Linked DNA regions of Rattus norvegicus. The protein of the gene in region 2 interacts with the protein of the main gene of each other region in a pairwise test. Links are inferred from orthologs where the notes say so. Each region holds a gene or a part of one and is shown on either strand. Other genes may lie near its edges.

The links. The genes of interacting proteins can lie anywhere in the genome.
Region 1: the proteins of Arl6ip1 (region 2) and Snx11 interact in binary tests that used the Homo sapiens proteins (3 or more experiments, as listed by UniProt). The two-hybrid records come from large-scale screens. The link is inferred for Rattus norvegicus from reciprocal best matches to the Homo sapiens genes ARL6IP1 and SNX11.
Region 3: the proteins of Arl6ip1 (region 2) and Fxr2 interact in binary tests that used the Homo sapiens proteins (3 or more experiments, as listed by UniProt). The two-hybrid records come from large-scale screens. The link is inferred for Rattus norvegicus from reciprocal best matches to the Homo sapiens genes ARL6IP1 and FXR2.

What each region holds. Positions count from the first base shown.
Region 1 is NC_086028.1:82,245,807-82,251,151, forward strand, and holds the start of Snx11 (sorting nexin-11), read right to left. Parts: upstream 3,361-5,345; 5' UTR 3,270-3,360; intron 2,392-3,269; exon of another isoform or gene 1,668-2,391; intron 1,321-1,667; 5' UTR 1,261-1,320; intron 478-1,260; exon of another isoform or gene 328-477; 5' UTR 315-327; coding exon 273-314; intron 1-272. UniProt on the Homo sapiens protein: Phosphoinositide-binding protein involved in protein sorting and membrane trafficking in endosomes. Regulates the levels of TRPV3 by promoting its trafficking from the cell membrane to lysosome for degradation.
Region 2 is NC_086019.1:181,870,613-181,875,938, reverse strand, and holds the start of Arl6ip1 (ADP-ribosylation factor-like protein 6-interacting protein 1), read left to right. Parts: upstream 1-1,706; 5' UTR 1,707-1,761; coding exon 1,762-1,797; intron 1,798-4,295; coding exon 4,296-4,429; intron 4,430-4,875; coding exon 4,876-4,995; intron 4,996-5,326. UniProt on the Homo sapiens protein: Positively regulates SLC1A1/EAAC1-mediated glutamate transport by increasing its affinity for glutamate in a PKC activity-dependent manner.
Region 3 is NC_086028.1:54,847,484-54,853,028, reverse strand, and holds the start of Fxr2 (RNA-binding protein FXR2), read right to left. Parts: upstream 3,361-5,545; 5' UTR 3,342-3,360; coding exon 3,261-3,341; intron 1-3,260. UniProt on the Homo sapiens protein: mRNA-binding protein that acts as a regulator of mRNAs translation and/or stability, and which is required for adult hippocampal neurogenesis. Specifically binds to AU-rich elements (AREs) in the 3'-UTR of target mRNAs.

The sequences.
Region 1 (5,345 bases), on a different chromosome or scaffold from region 2:
AATGTCCTAATGAGCCCCATGTCTTGGGTGATAACCGAAAACTTCATTTTAAAAGGGCTTACAACATTCTAGGACATTCTAACCAATGGGAGAGTTAGTAAGGAGGCTCGCTTCTCAGCACACACACCTGCTACTTCTTTCCTTCTCCTGGCTTTAATTTGAAACACCAAGAGTATTAACAGGGAAAAAGCACCGCAGACGATGCTCTGCCATCTGTGTCCCCTCCCCCTAAGTGGCCCTCCGACTCTGACCCACCTGGAGACCCTGCTTACCTCCAGCTCTTGGTTCTCCAACATCCTACACCAAAAGCCCATCGGAAGAGAACATCTGGGGAGGAGCAGAGGACATGGAAGGACGCACAGTTAGCGTGTCCGTACTGGGTTCTCGCAGAGCAAAACCCCCAAAAGTTTTTCACAGACGTCCCTTGGGGAAATCCAGGTAGGTAACTTTCCCCTCAACCCCAATTATGTGTAAAACCTGAAAGAGGAAGGGGGAAAACCCCATATTAGCTAAAAACCCTGGGGAATTTGCCTCCATCCAGACTACTACTAAAGGTGGACACTCTAAAGGCCACCTCAGTCTAGAGCTCCTGGGGACATGAGGAGAGTGTGTTGTGGCCAGAGAGGCAGGTGGGTTCCATTGTAAACTTTTGCTGGAGGACTGCGGCTTAGCAGTCTTCTGAACTCAGCTTTGAAAAGGAGCCTACCAGCGCCCCCTCCTGGTTGTTTAGAGACAACTAATTCCTCACAATTACCAATCTCTCTTTGTCTGGCTAACCAAAGGTCACCTCCATTCAGGTGAGTGGTCCTAGGAGCACCCAACTGAAGAGTCCAGTTACAGTTTACCACCTTCTCTTACCAGCTCCCCAGAAATGGAGCCAACCGTTATAATCAATTCCCATCCTGACACGCCCGCCATCCGGTTTGCACCTCTGCCTGAGCACCCCACAGCTTCTCGGGTCAACTCAGGATGCGTTCTGCTCCTTTGTAAAGATTCATTAAAGCCTAAGCCACTGATTTCCCCCAGTGTGGCAGTTTATGTGTACAGCGACATCGCCCACTCCAACAAGGGGACCATGAAGGCTGTAGCACAGGGTTACTGGATTCCAAAGGGGCCCATGATGTCACCTTCTGTTAAAATACAGCACTAATCTTGTTACTCCTAGAACCACTCCAACAGCATCCACCCTGCCTGCCGCCTCCACCCCTTCCTCTCTCTTAAGAGCAGAACAATAAGGTTTAATTTCCCTTTCCAATTTACCTTGAAATGAAAACTGACTTCAGCCAATATGTACTGCCAACAAACGATCCCGGCTGGCTCCTGGGAAAACGAGACCATCTCTAAGCTCTCCCTCTCCTCCTCCCATGCCCATTCGCACACCCACTCGCTTTTACAGTCCCACAATTAATTTTAAACACATTCTCTTATTAGTTCTGCCTCACCATTAGAAGAGTGCGTAATGAGCTTCCGTCTATTTTATGTTTTGCTAACATAGGGCTAATGTTTCAAAGGAAGGGGAACTCGTTTATAGCATGAAATTAGCAGAGCAAACAGCTTTCGCAATTCTTTCCAACATCCCAGAAGGTGTCTCTACAGACAGACCCCACACGCAGGGACAAAGCTCCACGCGGCAGATTGACAAAACTGAGCTAGGCTGTGGAGCAAACCTGGAGGTTTTGTGATGTCGGCACCATAATAAACAGCATTCTTGCTGACGATCTGACTTTTCCTCCAGAGCAGTCGCCACCTCCAAGAGCCCCTAAACTGAAATGCAGGGGACCTCAATCCCCCAATAACCCAATACGACAGTCCAGATGAAATAGACAAAGATCTGTGACCAAAGCCAACAGACTTTCTGTGAATAATTAACCTGATGGGATCCCCCCTCTTCTCTTTTTAGGCACTTGCTGACCGCCAGCAGAAGAACAGAAAGTTAAGTATTCTGAAGTGGTTTTTGGTTTGGGTTGGTTTGTGTTTGTAGTACAACAGAAAAGATGACAAGAAAGGTCATCTACGCACTTAGAGGATGTCATCAGACGTTTGGTCTAAAGAAGAGTTTGTTAGGGGCCTGCAGCACCCCCATGTGGAAGTTTTTCTCCTTTATTTTGGAGCTACTGTCATACAGAAACAAATAACCATAAACTGGCTTTTAAGGCGCTCCAAGCCTCCTGCGACTCTGGACGTTCAAAGGGCACTGAGGAGTTTCTGGTTGTCAATTTCCTTAAAACGCTGACACTGCAAAAACCAGGCTCCATTTCTAACAACCACTGCTCCCAGTTGACATCCTTCCTAAAAAGACCACTCTTTCGGAAGAAAACGGAGCTCAGTTCCATTCCTGGAGAAGCATCGAGTTCTGAACTTCAACTCTATGACCTGTCCGAAGAGGCGGACCTGTGTACCCATAAAGGAAGGACAGAATCAAGTAACCTCCAAAGGTTAAGAAGCTTGCTCAATGCTAACTACATTTCCGCGGCCTTTTCCATCCTGCCTCAAGTGTTCTTTGCTTCCCTCAACAATACTGGCACCAACAGTCCTGGGGAAGGGCCAGAGCTTTCGGGAGTGTACTAAGTTTGACGCATTGTAAAGCTCGCAACTGCTAATTCAGGGGAGCAATTCAAAGCCTTCTCATTTTCTCTCCCACTTAAACTACTTCAAGGGACACGTTAAAAACACATCAGGCTGTAAAAAAAGATTGCACCAAGGAGACCTTTCTTGCTCACTCTTGAGCCTCTGGTGTTACAGACAGCGACTCAAAAACCTCGCCTTTCTAAATACCCCACGGGTGTTCGAGGAGACTCTTCCGCCAGACAACCTGGCCTGTCCATCAAACAGCTGTTTCACCTTTCAGTCGGTAACCTACTCCTTTCAGCTGAAAGTAATAAAGGCGAGCATAATTTCCAGTATCTGCGAAAAGTATCTCCCATTTCCTTCCACTCCCGGCCACTTGGGTAGACATCCCTAAATTCTGACTCCGGCCACTCCTTTCCATTCTTTAGCAAACTTAGATGGAAACCAGCCAAAATGGTCCCTCTCTTTTCCCGGCAAAACTCGGAACGGAAAGACACCTTCTAATTTCAAAGTATATTGAAAAGCCAGGCTTCCTTTCTTCTTGGGTCCCAGCAAGCCCTCACTTTCACACCGGGCGGTAAGACGCACCTTCCCTAGCGTGTCAACCGAGGCCAACACTTAAATGTCACCACTACTGCTCAAGTCGACAACCCATTCCCCAGCAGCACCTACGAGCCGCGGCCCCGCCCACGCCCCCTCACCTGAGAGCAGCAGCAGCAGCTCTCTATAGCGACACCACCAGCACCGAACCATATAGCCAGATGCAGATTCCGGCTTCTCCTTCCGGGTGAGTCGCCGGCGCCCCAGTGCACGACGGGAGGCGGCTCCCGACGGGCCAATCCTGAGTGTCCAGGACGCCCCACCCCTGAAGACCAGGGCTCTCAGTGGTGATCGCCGGTCAGCGGAGAATCACCGCCACGCCCAGGCCTCAGCTGAAATCCACATCTTTCCGGAAATCGCTTGGGGCGTGAGAGGCGGAGCGCAAGGACCGAGACCCGGTGAAGTCCACTCGGGTGCCGCGTTCCGCCCACGGCCGTCAGGCGGGCCAATCAACGCTCAGGAAGTCTTTAAAGGCCGGCGAAAGCATCTTGGGATCCTAAGTATCTCCTGGGTGTTACAGAGTAATTAGAGTGGGAGGTTTCTCGCGTTCCAGAAGCTTTAGACGATCTCGATAGTCCAGGCTTGAATCTCGGAGGTTGCAATTCCCCATCTGAAATGTCAAGGGCACTGCCAGTTAAATTTGGAAAAGCCACGGATTATCCCAGCAAAAAACACACGAAGTTGACAACTCCTCAAACAGTTGTCAAACCCAAAGCAGGCCCATGCAGTTAGTAAACAAGAAAAAGCCGGTGAAAATGCTAATTATAGAGATATCTAAATTCCTCTTAAGCCAATGGAAATGGCTCATGCCCCGAATCCTAACACTTGGAAAGTTGAAGACAAAGTGAGTTCCAGGATATAGACTGAAGCTGTCTGAAGATACAAACGAAAAGCCTCTCTGATCTGTTAAAAAGTTAATTTTACATCTGTAATCCCACCACTTGGAAGCAGAGGCAGGAACTGAAGGCCAACGCCAACTACATTAGTTTCAGGCTAGCTTGGGGTGCTTAAAAGCAAAACAGCTGTAGAAATGACTTGAGAAGATGAATTCAGCACCCACAAATTCACGCCGCTCACAAATTCCTGCAACTCCAACTTCAATGGATCGAGGCATACTCACACCAAAAATGAATATTTATTACTTTTTATTTTGCGTAGCTGAGTATTTTGCCTATAAGTATGGGTGTGTACCATAGATCTACCTGAAACCCTTAGGGGACAGATGAGGGCCTTAGATCTCCTAGGACTGGAGTTACAAGTGGTTGGGACCATTGTGTGGGTGCTGAGAACTGAACTCTGCCCCTATACAAGGGCAAAAGGTGCTCTTAACCTCAAAGTCATTTCTCAATCCCAACTCCCCTTAAAAACTTATGAGCACTAATAAGAATGTGGGTGAGAGGGAAACACAGCACTACACTGACTGTGGCCTTGAGCTACTCCCAAAGCACAATGGTAGTTACCTATCCAGACGGATATTAGTCCTACAACTCAAAACAGAACTTCTCAGACCTTTGATCTCAGGATCCCTTTAAACAAACATTTGAAATCATAAGGACATCTTATAGTATTGGGAAATGTAGGACAGTCATTGACTTAGAAATAAAAATTGAGAGACTGAGGCAGGAGAGAGAAAGCACATCAGTTAAGAGCACTTGTTCTTGCAGAAGACCTGGGTTCAGTTCCCAGAACACATATGAGGGCTCTCATCCACTGTTCTGACACCCTCATCTAGCCTCTAGGAGCACTACACTCATGAGGAGTACTACTTAACGTGCAAGCAAGACATCCATAGGCAGGCATAAAATTAAACCCCAAAGATATTTTGTTAAAATATTTTATGATCTATATTTTCAAAGACAGAACAGCAAGAGGAACAGCTCTGCGTTACGATTTTGTAAATCTCTTTAGTATCTGGCTTAGGAGACAGCTGGATTCTTTTTTTTTTTTTTTTTTTTTTTTTTTTTTTTAAGAGTTGAGGACCAAATCCAGGGCCTTGCGCTTGCTAGGCAAGTGCTCTACCACTGAGCTAAATCCCCAACCCCAACAGCTGGATTCTTATTTGCTTTTTCATTTCTCTTTCATGCTCTATTGTTTTGGCAGATGAAGAATAACGAACGCTATGGGAAAGGGGGTATTTTTAGCTTTCTCCAGCAGCGGGGATACCCTCTCCATCTCTG
Region 2 (5,326 bases):
CTGTAAAGGGATCCGGTGTGTCTGAAGACAGTGACAACGTGTTCACATACATAAAATAAATCTTAAAGATCTCAAAAAAAAAAAAATCCTTTTTGAACAGCCATTCAAAGGTAAGGATGGGTGAATCTCTGGTTTCTAGGCCAACCTGGTCTGTAAAACAAGTACCAGGACTGTCAGGACTACACAGAGAAACCCTGTCTCGAATAGCAAAAGAATGTATGAAGCTCAGTTTTAGCAATATTTAAAACAAAACTTTGACCCTTATTCTGAGTGAAAGAAATGAAAAGAATATTTGGGAAGAGTTCATTTGCTATGCCAAAGTTCTGAGGAAGATTAGTGTAACGGGCTTCATCATCTGACACATTTCAAAGGTCACTCCTCTTTGTGTTAAAAAAAAAAAAAAGATGTTTATAACCCTTGGGCCAATTTGCAAGGTCAGTGAGAGCTGGATTTGGACCTGGGGCTGTCCTAAATTTAATCTTAAATTTTACTTTGGGAACACCGATTAAACTTGAAGCTTTCTGAAGCAGTAGCCAAGTTACCAAGGTAGAAGTGACAGATTTTAAAAACCCTCTTTTTACTCTTCTGTCCTCTTAGAAAGTGACTTCCTGGTACCAGGTTAGCTTGGTTCAGCTGTTTTGGTCCTTTTGTTCTCAGTACTGAGGAGGCGAAGGAGGGAACTCCAGGCCTTACAATTTTCGATATGATTTATCAGCCGAGTCATAACCCCCCACCCCCACCCCCACCCCCCATAACACACACACACTCTGAGCTGCTTTGCTGGTCAAAACGTCTGACAAATTGCCCCTTTGATAGAACCACCGTGGGCCAGAAAGGACCAGGCTTATTTGGGCTCACTATGTGGTCTCTCAGGTTTCTTTTAAACTTCCAGGGACTTTAAAGAACCTGGTAATTTGCTTATTTATTTTATTTTTTAAAGAATATAAATCTAAGATAGTTGAAGTCCGTATTTAGCATGGCTTCCCCATAACACCCATTAATCAGTTCGAAGCGTTCCATCATCTGAATTGTTCCTCTACCCATCCATCCCTCCGAATGAAGCGCTCCCCTAGCTACCTGAAGTACTCAAATCAATCAAGTGAAGCGCCCCGCAAATGATTCCCCCAAAGTCTGGCTGCAAATGACGCCCTTTAAGAGTTCGTGCATCTTTCGTGTTCTCAAAACGCCTGTTAACACTGTTGGCGAAAAGGCAGCAGCATTAGGCACAGGTGCTCACATGGGGACGCTTGTCTTCCAGTCAGCAGGTGCCACGGGAACCTAAAAGCGTCCCTTGCCCATCTAGCCTCCGCATAGGATGCCACTGCGCATCCTCTACTCAGCTGAGCAGACAGGCCCCTCGGCGCCTTTGAGATACAGCAGAAGACAGGTAGGGAGTAGAGAGGCCACAAACGTTCAGGAAGATTTGGGTGAGAGACTAGCGACGGCGGTTGAACCGCTTCCTTCCGCTCCGCCTCCCGCGGGCCACACCCCTGCACTCTGATTGGCCAGAGTCTTTCAGCTCCGCGCAGCTTCACTCTCCTTTGACCTGGATTTCAAGTCATGCGCTAGCTGCCGGTTGGCCTGGCTTCCCAGAAGCCGGAGTGCGGTCTATCCAATGAGGAGCGAGTTTCGCGAGGGCTGTCGGGAAAGGCAGCGAGCCTATATAAGCGGCCTGCGGGGCGTTCCCCCCCGCGCTCGGGTTACCGTGCTGGTGTTGGGTTTGGTGTGTTCGCGCTCGTTGATAACCGTGCGTCTGGAACGATGGCCGAGGGGGATAACCGCAGCAGCAACCTGCTGGTGAGTCGCAGTGGTCAGTTTGTCTCCAGAGCTCCCGGATGGACCTCCTGGTCTTGGTGAACTACAGGGGCAGCCAGGCCTGATCCTGGGACTCCCTGCCCATCTCCACGGTGGTGGTCCTTGCTGCCGATCCCCAACGTCCCCCGGGGAGCGTGCACTACAAGGCTTGGACCGTGAGTGTGGAAATGTGAGAAGGGGTCTGTGGCAAGAAGGAACCTGGGTAGCAGGTTGGGGCACTCGGCCGCAAGGGGCCTTGTCTAGCGTTCCCGGCTCAGGCCGGAGAGACCTACCTGTTTTGCCCTCTGATCTTAATTTCATGTTTCGTAGATTATTATTATTTTTTCTTTTTTTCGGAGCTGGGGACCGAACCCAGGGCCTTGTGCTTGCTAGGCAAGCGCTCTACCACTGAGCTAAATCCCCAGCCCCTCGTAGATTATTTTTAATCATGATTCTTTTTTCCCTAAAACTTGGCGCAAGGATGGAGGGTCAAAGGGCTGCTACAGAGAATTAGTTTATCGCTGACACAGAATTTGTTGGAGTTGCTTGGTTGGAGTTCACCGCAGGAAGCTGAAAACGGGTTATGCGGAAAGGACAGTGGGAGATCCTGGCACTTGTCTGGGAACTGACGAGGGACTCACCGGACTGGTTGCAACTTTAAAATGATTAGCACAGATTTTTTTTTCTTTTTTTTCGGAGCTGGGGACCGAACCCAGGGCCTTGCGCTTGCTAGGCAAGCGCTCTACCACTGAGCTAAATCCCCAACCCCGATTAGCACAGATTTGAAGGAGCTGCAGGAGATGGTATTAAAGGAGGGCATGTTTGCTTCATTACAAGTTTTTGTTTTTGTTTTTTTAAGGCTAGGTTTTCGTGTATCCTGACCTATCGAGGTTAGCCTTGTATTTGTCATCCTCCTGTCTCCACCTCTCAAGCGCTGGGATTACAGTTGAGCATCACCAGGCCCTGTTTTAAATTTTAAACTGCACGTAGGCAAGAACGAAAGATCATTCCCCTCCCCCCGCCCTGTAATGTCATTCCCCAGAAAAGGCAGACCATATCAGAAATGAAAATAGCAATCAGATTTTAATCAGCTTTTTCACTTTTTCTGAGAGCCTAAGTGCCGACAAGTGACTTTGGGACAGTTTTGATTGTACAAGATTTTCAGTTTGTATTCGTGTTTAAATGTGAATGCCCTGTATCCTTGAATTCCCTCTACACAGACACACACACACACACACACACACACACACACACACACACAGTACATAAGCAAACAATCCAATAGAGATGCCTGCCCTGCATCCTAAATCTTACCCTACACAATACACATACACCAACAAACAATCCAGTAAGAGGATTAATTGCTGTACAGGGAAACTCCCACAGGAGAGGGCCTCTATTTCCATCAATGCAGTATCATTTTAAGGAGAGCAAGGCCATTAGTCTTATGTTTCCTGGATTTAAATATATTAGCCTCTTTGTGTCTCAGTCTCCTCATCTTAAAGTAGAGGTTGTAAGAATACCTTTTCCAGTTTGAGGAGCATTAATTGAAGTTTAACATGTAAAAGGTTAAGAATTTCTAGTGTGGGGTGACGTCAGAAGTTCTTAGTCACATATTTCATCTTTACTAAAATTAGCCTCAACCGTACTATCATTTGCATACTACTTTGTGAAAAGTTGATGTATCGGTTGAGCTTTGTGTGTTTGTGGTTCCTGGATGTTGAATCCAGGGTTCTGCACAGACTGAGCAACTGCTGGGTTCTAATTTCCTTCCTTTACTAAAGTCCCTGATAGGTCTAGGCCACAATAGCCCATGGTGAAGGTACGCTTTTGACTGGTTGTCGCATATGCAGAGAAACTTTGAGATTTAATTGAAATTCCATCATTAACAAGAAGAAGCCATTATGGAGAACTTTTAAGTGCTGAGGTCACATAATTTGGTTAGAATAGTTTTCTTTAATTCCACAGTGACTGCCAATACCAGAGTTATTCTATTATACTATTAATAGTATAAATACTATTATGTATTTAGTATTAAGGGAAAAGTTCTCCTGATGGATTTAGAAGGGCTTAAATCAATAAATTGACCAATCAACAGATCAATGCCAACCACCTGAAATGAGCAAACAGAATATTCAATTTAGTAATATTCTGAGCACTGCCTCATGGCTCTGTGGGTACATTGGGGATATTGGTTAACCATATTAAGCTCACCTTCATGAATATTGAAATACATTGTGAAACCTTGGCAGTATGATGATACATCATGGACATGTGTCCCAGTGCTAAAGTGACCATTAAAGCCTATGCTTTCTCCTGCCCACGGATTTTCATGTTTGTGTACCAAAAGTGCAGTTTTTCATGACTCACCTTGTTTAAGATAACAGTTTTGTTAAAGGCATTTTATGTGTATTTGATGACTTAGAAAGATTTTACTCACTTGAGCCACCAAAGTGTTGAGATTGGGGAAGTGACACTGTAACACTGTTGGTCATGCGTAGGCCGTGGAGACTGCAAGTCTTGAAGAGCAGCTGCAAGGCTGGGGAGAAGTGATGCTGATGGCTGACAAAGTCCTTCGGTGGGAAAGAGCCTGGTTTCCACCTGCCATTATGGGTGTGGTCTCCCTGCTGTTCCTGTAAGTGAGAGATTCTATTGCTAAATGCTCCGAGGGTTCATAGCCTATGCTTAGAGAAGCTTTTGTACTACATAATCCAAGAGGAATGCCTTTATTTCAAGCAGCTTGCCCACTTTCTAGAATTTGTAGTCCTTATGTAAAATTGTAAGTTAATACTGTTGAATAAATTCCAGACACTCAAACTCTTATTTCAACACTCTTGCTTTATATTATTTTCTACTAAATATTGAGGTCTCCAGAGTTTTTGACTATCGTTGTTTACATTAAGCACTTTTTTAACTGTGACAACATCATGCCGTGGTACCTCGAGAAAACCCTTTGTGAGGAAATTAGAAAGGAAACAGCACCATCTCTGAGAAGCTGAGGGTGAAGAGTGAACCTCTTTGACTAGGAATAATGACCACTGTGGTTCTCTAACCTTGGTTAATTTTCTTTGTTTTTAATAGGATTATCTATTATCTCGATCCATCTGTGCTGTCCGGTGTTTCCTGTTTTGTCATGTTTTTGTGCCTGGCTGACTACCTTGTTCCCATTCTAGCACCAAGGATTTTTGGCTCTAATAAATGGTAGGTGGCTCTGCATGATTAGTGTGCTGTGCTTAAAGAAGACGATTGTCTAGCCATCAGATATCTTCTAGGAGTTAGAGTCATTGCTCTTAAGTGAAGAATTTCATACCTAATTTCAAATGTATATCAAGAACTTTTAGTGCACTATCTAGTTCACTTTGGTCAAAAATTTGCTTTTGATTGTCTATTTAGTTTTATTTCTATACCTTAAGTAAGGATATTTTTTAAAGGTGATATTTAACTAAGAATTCCAGAACTCTTTTTTTTTTTTTTTTAACTACATAATGTTTGTTTGAGGGGTAGGGGTACATGCACCATAACATGCATGTGG
Region 3 (5,545 bases), on a different chromosome or scaffold from region 2:
GGTGGCCCACACCTTCCAAGGCCAGCCTAACCTAGAGTGACTTCCAGAGAAGTCACACAGAGGAAATTCTGTCTCAGAAGAAAAAGAAACCCAGACAAGGTACAGAAAATAAGATTGACTACAGCAGAAAGTGAATATGGATTTCATGTGAAAAAAGGACAACTTAAAGAATGAAAGTAATGCCAGGTGAGATGGCACAGACCCATAAAATTCTAGTCAGTAGGAGGAAGAGCTAGGAGAATCATAAGCTCGAGCTTGAACTATTATAAAACTTCCTCCCAAAAACACAGACAAAAAAGAATTAAAACACACTATGAAGTTGGGGTTGGTGGTGTGTACCTGTAATCCCAGCACTTGGGAAATGAAGCCAGTAAAACCAGGAGTTCAAGGTCATCCCCAGCTAAAAGCCCAAGCCACCTGAAACTCACCTTAAAACAAAACATATCATCCTGACAGAAAAGGAAAGTTTGAGAGGATAGTTCTAAAATAACTTAGACCTCAGATCTGGTATCTATAGGCCCTAGGAAAAAAATCAAAGTAAAACACAGTTTTTTGAAAGGAGAAAGGGATCTCCCCAAACTTAAAAAGATCTAAAAGACAGTTAATACTCCCTTACTCACATCAAAGTTTGCTGAGTCATGAATATTAATCAACTTGGAATACGCAAGTATCTACAGTGTACACTGAGTTTAAAAAGGATTAGTCTAATTTTAGGGAATTGCCTTTTACTCAGTCATGGAGCAGAAAGTGAAGTGGCCAGAACACAAAATCTATGTTATTTGGCTTTTATTCAACTGTTAACTCTATACTATCAAAGAATCCTGTCTCTGCTTCACTCAAATCTATCACTGCTATGGCCCATAGGCCCATAGGATAAAATGACAAAAGTCAAAAGAGACTTTCTGTTTGCTACCCATATGTGTAACAGAAAACATGTCCCTTTGCAACCACTTCATACAGTTAATTTGAACTGAGCACTGATCTGTCCCATGTCCCAGCTGCGCATGGCTTCCATGCTTCCTTAAACCAAAAGCAAATATCTTATCTTGATCTCACACTCAATTGAAGAATCACTTTTCAAACTAGGAGTGGTTGTGGATGCTGCTTTTAATCCCAGCACTCAACAAAGGCAAACCTATCTCAGTGAGTTTGAGTTCAGGGCAGCCAAAGCTACAAAGAGAAATCCTGTCCCCAAAAATCAAAGCAAAGAAAAAAAAAAAAAAAAAAAAAGGAAAAGAAAAATATGATATAGATATATATATAGATATATATATACATATCTCACTTTTCTTGGAATTTAACATTTTGGGGTGAGAAAGATACAGATGAAGGCTAACATATCAAGAAAAATAGAACTAACAACTTATAGAGTACTTTTTGGTTTTGTTTGGGTTGTTTTTTCAGTCTGATTTCATTCTCCACACTAGTTTTGAACTTCAACAATCCTACTTCAGTCTTCCAAGTCCTAGGATTAGAGTAGGCACCACCATACCCAGCCTGAGGACACTTTTAACAAAGGTAATACAAATGTGGGGGAAAGGAGCCCCAGAGCCCCATCAGAGCCCAAAAGGAATTAAGAGACTTTTGCTACAGAAAACAGAAATGTTACAAAGACATTCTTCTAGTAAGAAAAAAAGTACCAAGAGTTAGGAAAGTGACAGGGAACCTTCTTCAGCTATACAAAGGATAGATAGGTGGACCTCAATGAGGATCCACAGGAGTACAAAAGTACCAAGACTTAATTGAGAGGCTAAATTAAAGCTAGGAGATATGTGTACCCATAGGCACTGGGTGAAGAACGTGATCAGAAAAGGGGAAATTGCCATGGCCTTCACAGTGGGTAACTAACGGGTCAGTTGAAGTGGGGGTAGGAAACACCTACAGAGGCGGGGCAGACCCGTCCCTTTTCAGCTACAAAAAGATACAATTTCATAGTAGTCAAAGTTATTTCCAAGGGCATGAGAAAGTAGAAAGTTCTACTAGGGTAGGGGGACAGACAACCAGAAGAAACATGAAGGAAAAAGGAATCTCATCTCCCATCTAATGCTATGAAAATTCTTCTTCTCCAGAATGAAAGGAGTAAGAGAGGAACCAAAATTTCCAGGACAATTCCATCCAAAAAAATGCAGAAGAGGTTCAGAACCCCACAAGATCAGATGAAGAAAATACCTGAGGGGTGAGAAGAATCAGTCTGAATCTAAATTAGGGGTGAAGGGGATCCAGAATGGACTCAGATACAGAAGATGGGGTGGATAATGGATAGAAAGAAAAAACAAAAGTTCTGGTCTGGCATGGTGGCTCAATCTATAATCCCAGAACTGTAACCCTAGGCTGAGGAAGGAGTACAGAAGAGTTCAAGTCCAGCCAGGGAATCTTGTCCCAACCACACCCCTCAAAAAAGTTCACAGGAATCAAATCTTGGACAAAGAAAAAGCTGAAATAAGCAATTCTGAAAGCTACTTTTTTCTTTCCAAAAAGACTGTCAACAAGCAGAAATCAGAAGAACAGAAGCATGTGGAGATGGCCTTTTAGAGATGGTGAGGCTTAAACTTACCAAGAAGATATAGGAATGACCTAAATACATCTAGAGTCAAAGAGATAAAACACGAATCCATCCCTGGAGAGCTGGCTTTGGTATAAAGGTGTGGTAGGTGACAGACTTGTCCAACAAATCCACTAAATGGCTGGCTGGCTGGCTGATAAAACCTGAGGCCAAAGATGCTAAAGTAACAAATGGGTTCTGACCATTTCTTGTCAGACTGGGAACAGGAATGTAAGATGAAAGTTGAGCAAATGGTTCTAGAGCCAGTAGGCAAAGAAGCCTCCCTGAAGACCGAAGACCTAATATGGCACAGTGGACCTTCACAAGGGGGTCATGTAGGAAAAGAAAGGGAATCCTCCATGTGCTTGGCTGTAGGGGAGATGTGATTAAAAGCTGAAGTATCTCCTACACTAAAAAACAAGAAAAGTCGATTAGAAGCTAAGAAAAGGGGTTTCTCCAGGGTTCCCATCCACGCATAGTAATGACCTGATGTTCATGCCTTCAGCTGAGGATAAAAGCAGGTGTAATAGCGGGCTCAAAAATAAAAGCACGAGGGTTAACTCCCACGATCTCCCCGGGAGGGTTTCGAGTGGGAACGTGGGTCGAAGGTTCGAAGGGTCAGGACTAAGCTCCAGAAACTCGATCCCGCTGCACTCTTCCCTGCCTCGGCTGGGGGAGGGGGCTAAGGAGTGTGTCCCGGGTCGACGCGCCGTCTCACCTTGTAGAAGGCCCCGTTGGAGCCCCGCACCTCGACGGGCAGTCCCGGCTCCACATCCCCCCCAGAGGCCAGGCCGCCCATGGCGCCGCCACCACCTCCGACTGCCCCGGCAGCAGCTGAAACAGAGCCCTGAGTGCGGGCCGGGCCGGGCCCCCGGCGTCTCCCAGGAGGAGGAGCCGGAGGGGGAGCCGCGGGGGGCGGGAGCCGGGCCGGCCCCACGGCGGCCCTGCTACAGCCGACGAGCAGGGGGCCGGGGCCGGGCCGCTCCCCGTCCGCCGCCGCCGCTGCCTTGGTCTCCGCCACCGTGAGGGAAACGGCCGCCGCCGCCGCCGCCTTCGTCACCTCAGCTTCCGCCCGCCGGCGCCCCCGCTGCTGCCTCAGTCCCGGGACCCGCTGCTGCCGCTGCCGCTCCACGGCCTCCACCTCCCCCTGCCGCCGCCGCCTACTGCGCAGGCGCACAGGGCACCCGCCCGCCGCGCGCGGAGCCGGAGGGCCAAGGCGCAGGCGTCTAGGCTAGCGACCTAGCTCCCGCTCGCCAGCGCGTCAGGGCTTCCACATTCTCTTGCACTCTCTCACGCCCCCTCCTGGTCGCGTCTCTGCGCTTGCGCAGAACGAGATGAGCGCTCTATCTGTACCGCTCCAACCTTCCACTGTCCCTGTCCCTTCCTTTCCCCGCCCCACAACACTGGAAGCAAACCAATCAAGGGAAGAGAGGGGCCGCGCTCGCTCCGTCGGATTGGACTTCCGCCTCCACAAAGTGAGCCCCCATGGAGCCTGGGCAATTTAGGGATGGGCATGCGCCGGAATGACTGCTTGGTCACTTTCACCACCTTTGTCTTTCTCGGTGCGCACACTCCAAAGGGGGGCTGGGAGGGTTGGGACCGAAAGGAAAAAAACTGCCCAGTGCGCAGGCGCTGGGCTTTGGTGTCCATGCGCATGTGTTGACTCTCTGCATCCGTAGGAGAATCAAGAGTCACGGTTCTTGGCTTGAGTAGATTTTTTTTTTTTTAAGTTTTGTGAGACAGGGTCTCCTGTATCCTAGGCTGACCGTGTAGTGCGGGAATGACCTTGAATTCCTGATCCTCCAACCTTCGCCTCCCAAGTGCAAAAATTACAGGCATGTCATTTCCATGCTTGCCCTAAGTTGATTCTAATATTCTAGTAAACTCAATGCCCTGTGAAAAACAAAGTGCCACATAACCTGATACATAAATGCTGAGGAGATTCAAAACAGGAAAAATTGTCACAGAGTAACTAAAACATCCTGGCCTGGAAAGATGGCTCAACTATCAACCTTAACAACTGGAGTTGTATTCCTAGACCCACAAGATGGAAGGAGATATCCCCCACCTCCTGCAAGTTGTCTCCTGACCATCACACATATGACATCATTCATGGTCACCCACACATATAACAGAATTTCTTTTTAAGTAAAAATAAGGAATGTTAAGTGGAGAGATGTCAGCTAGGGGCTGGAGTGATGGCTCAGTGGTTAGAGCGCTGACTGCTCTTCCAGAGGTCCTGAGTTCAATTCCCAGCAACCACATGGTGGTTCACAACCATCTGTAATGGGATCTGATGCCCTCTTCTGGTGCATCTGAAGACAGCTACAATGTACTCAGGGGCCTCTGCCTCCCCCGTGCTAGGATTAAAGTCAAGTACCACAGGCCTGGCTAATAATGCTGCTTAAATTATTTTTAAATTTGCCTGGCATGGTGATGCATGCTTTTTTTTTTCTTTTCTTTTTTTCGGAGCTGGGGACCAAACCCAGGGTCTTGCGCAAGGCCCTGGGTTTGGTCCCCAGCTCGGAAAAAAAAAAAAAAAAAAAAAGATGTTTTATTAGCAGTAGTCAGAGGAGGACATATCTCTGTGAGTTTGTGATCATCCTGGTCTACTTATGATTTCAGGACAGCCATGGATACTTAGTGACAATGGCTCAAAAATTACAACAAAAAATATTTTTTTAAAGCCTGGGAGATGTCTCAGTAGGTAGTAGTCAAGCCTGATTAACCTGAGTTCAATCTCTAGGCCCCACACGGTGGAAAGTTAAAAAGTAATTCCCACACATTTTCCTCTGACTGCCACACATAAGCATGTGTACATGGCCACCCACAGAAAATAAATGGAAAACAGTAAAATTTAGCCATTTATAATTCCAGTTCTAGAAGACTGGACATTCCTTCTGGTCTCTGTGGGTATCAGGCACACATCTGGTAGGCACATTCCTACATGCAGACAAAACACTCATGTATGTAAAAATTAAAAAGTCAGGGCTGGAGAGATGG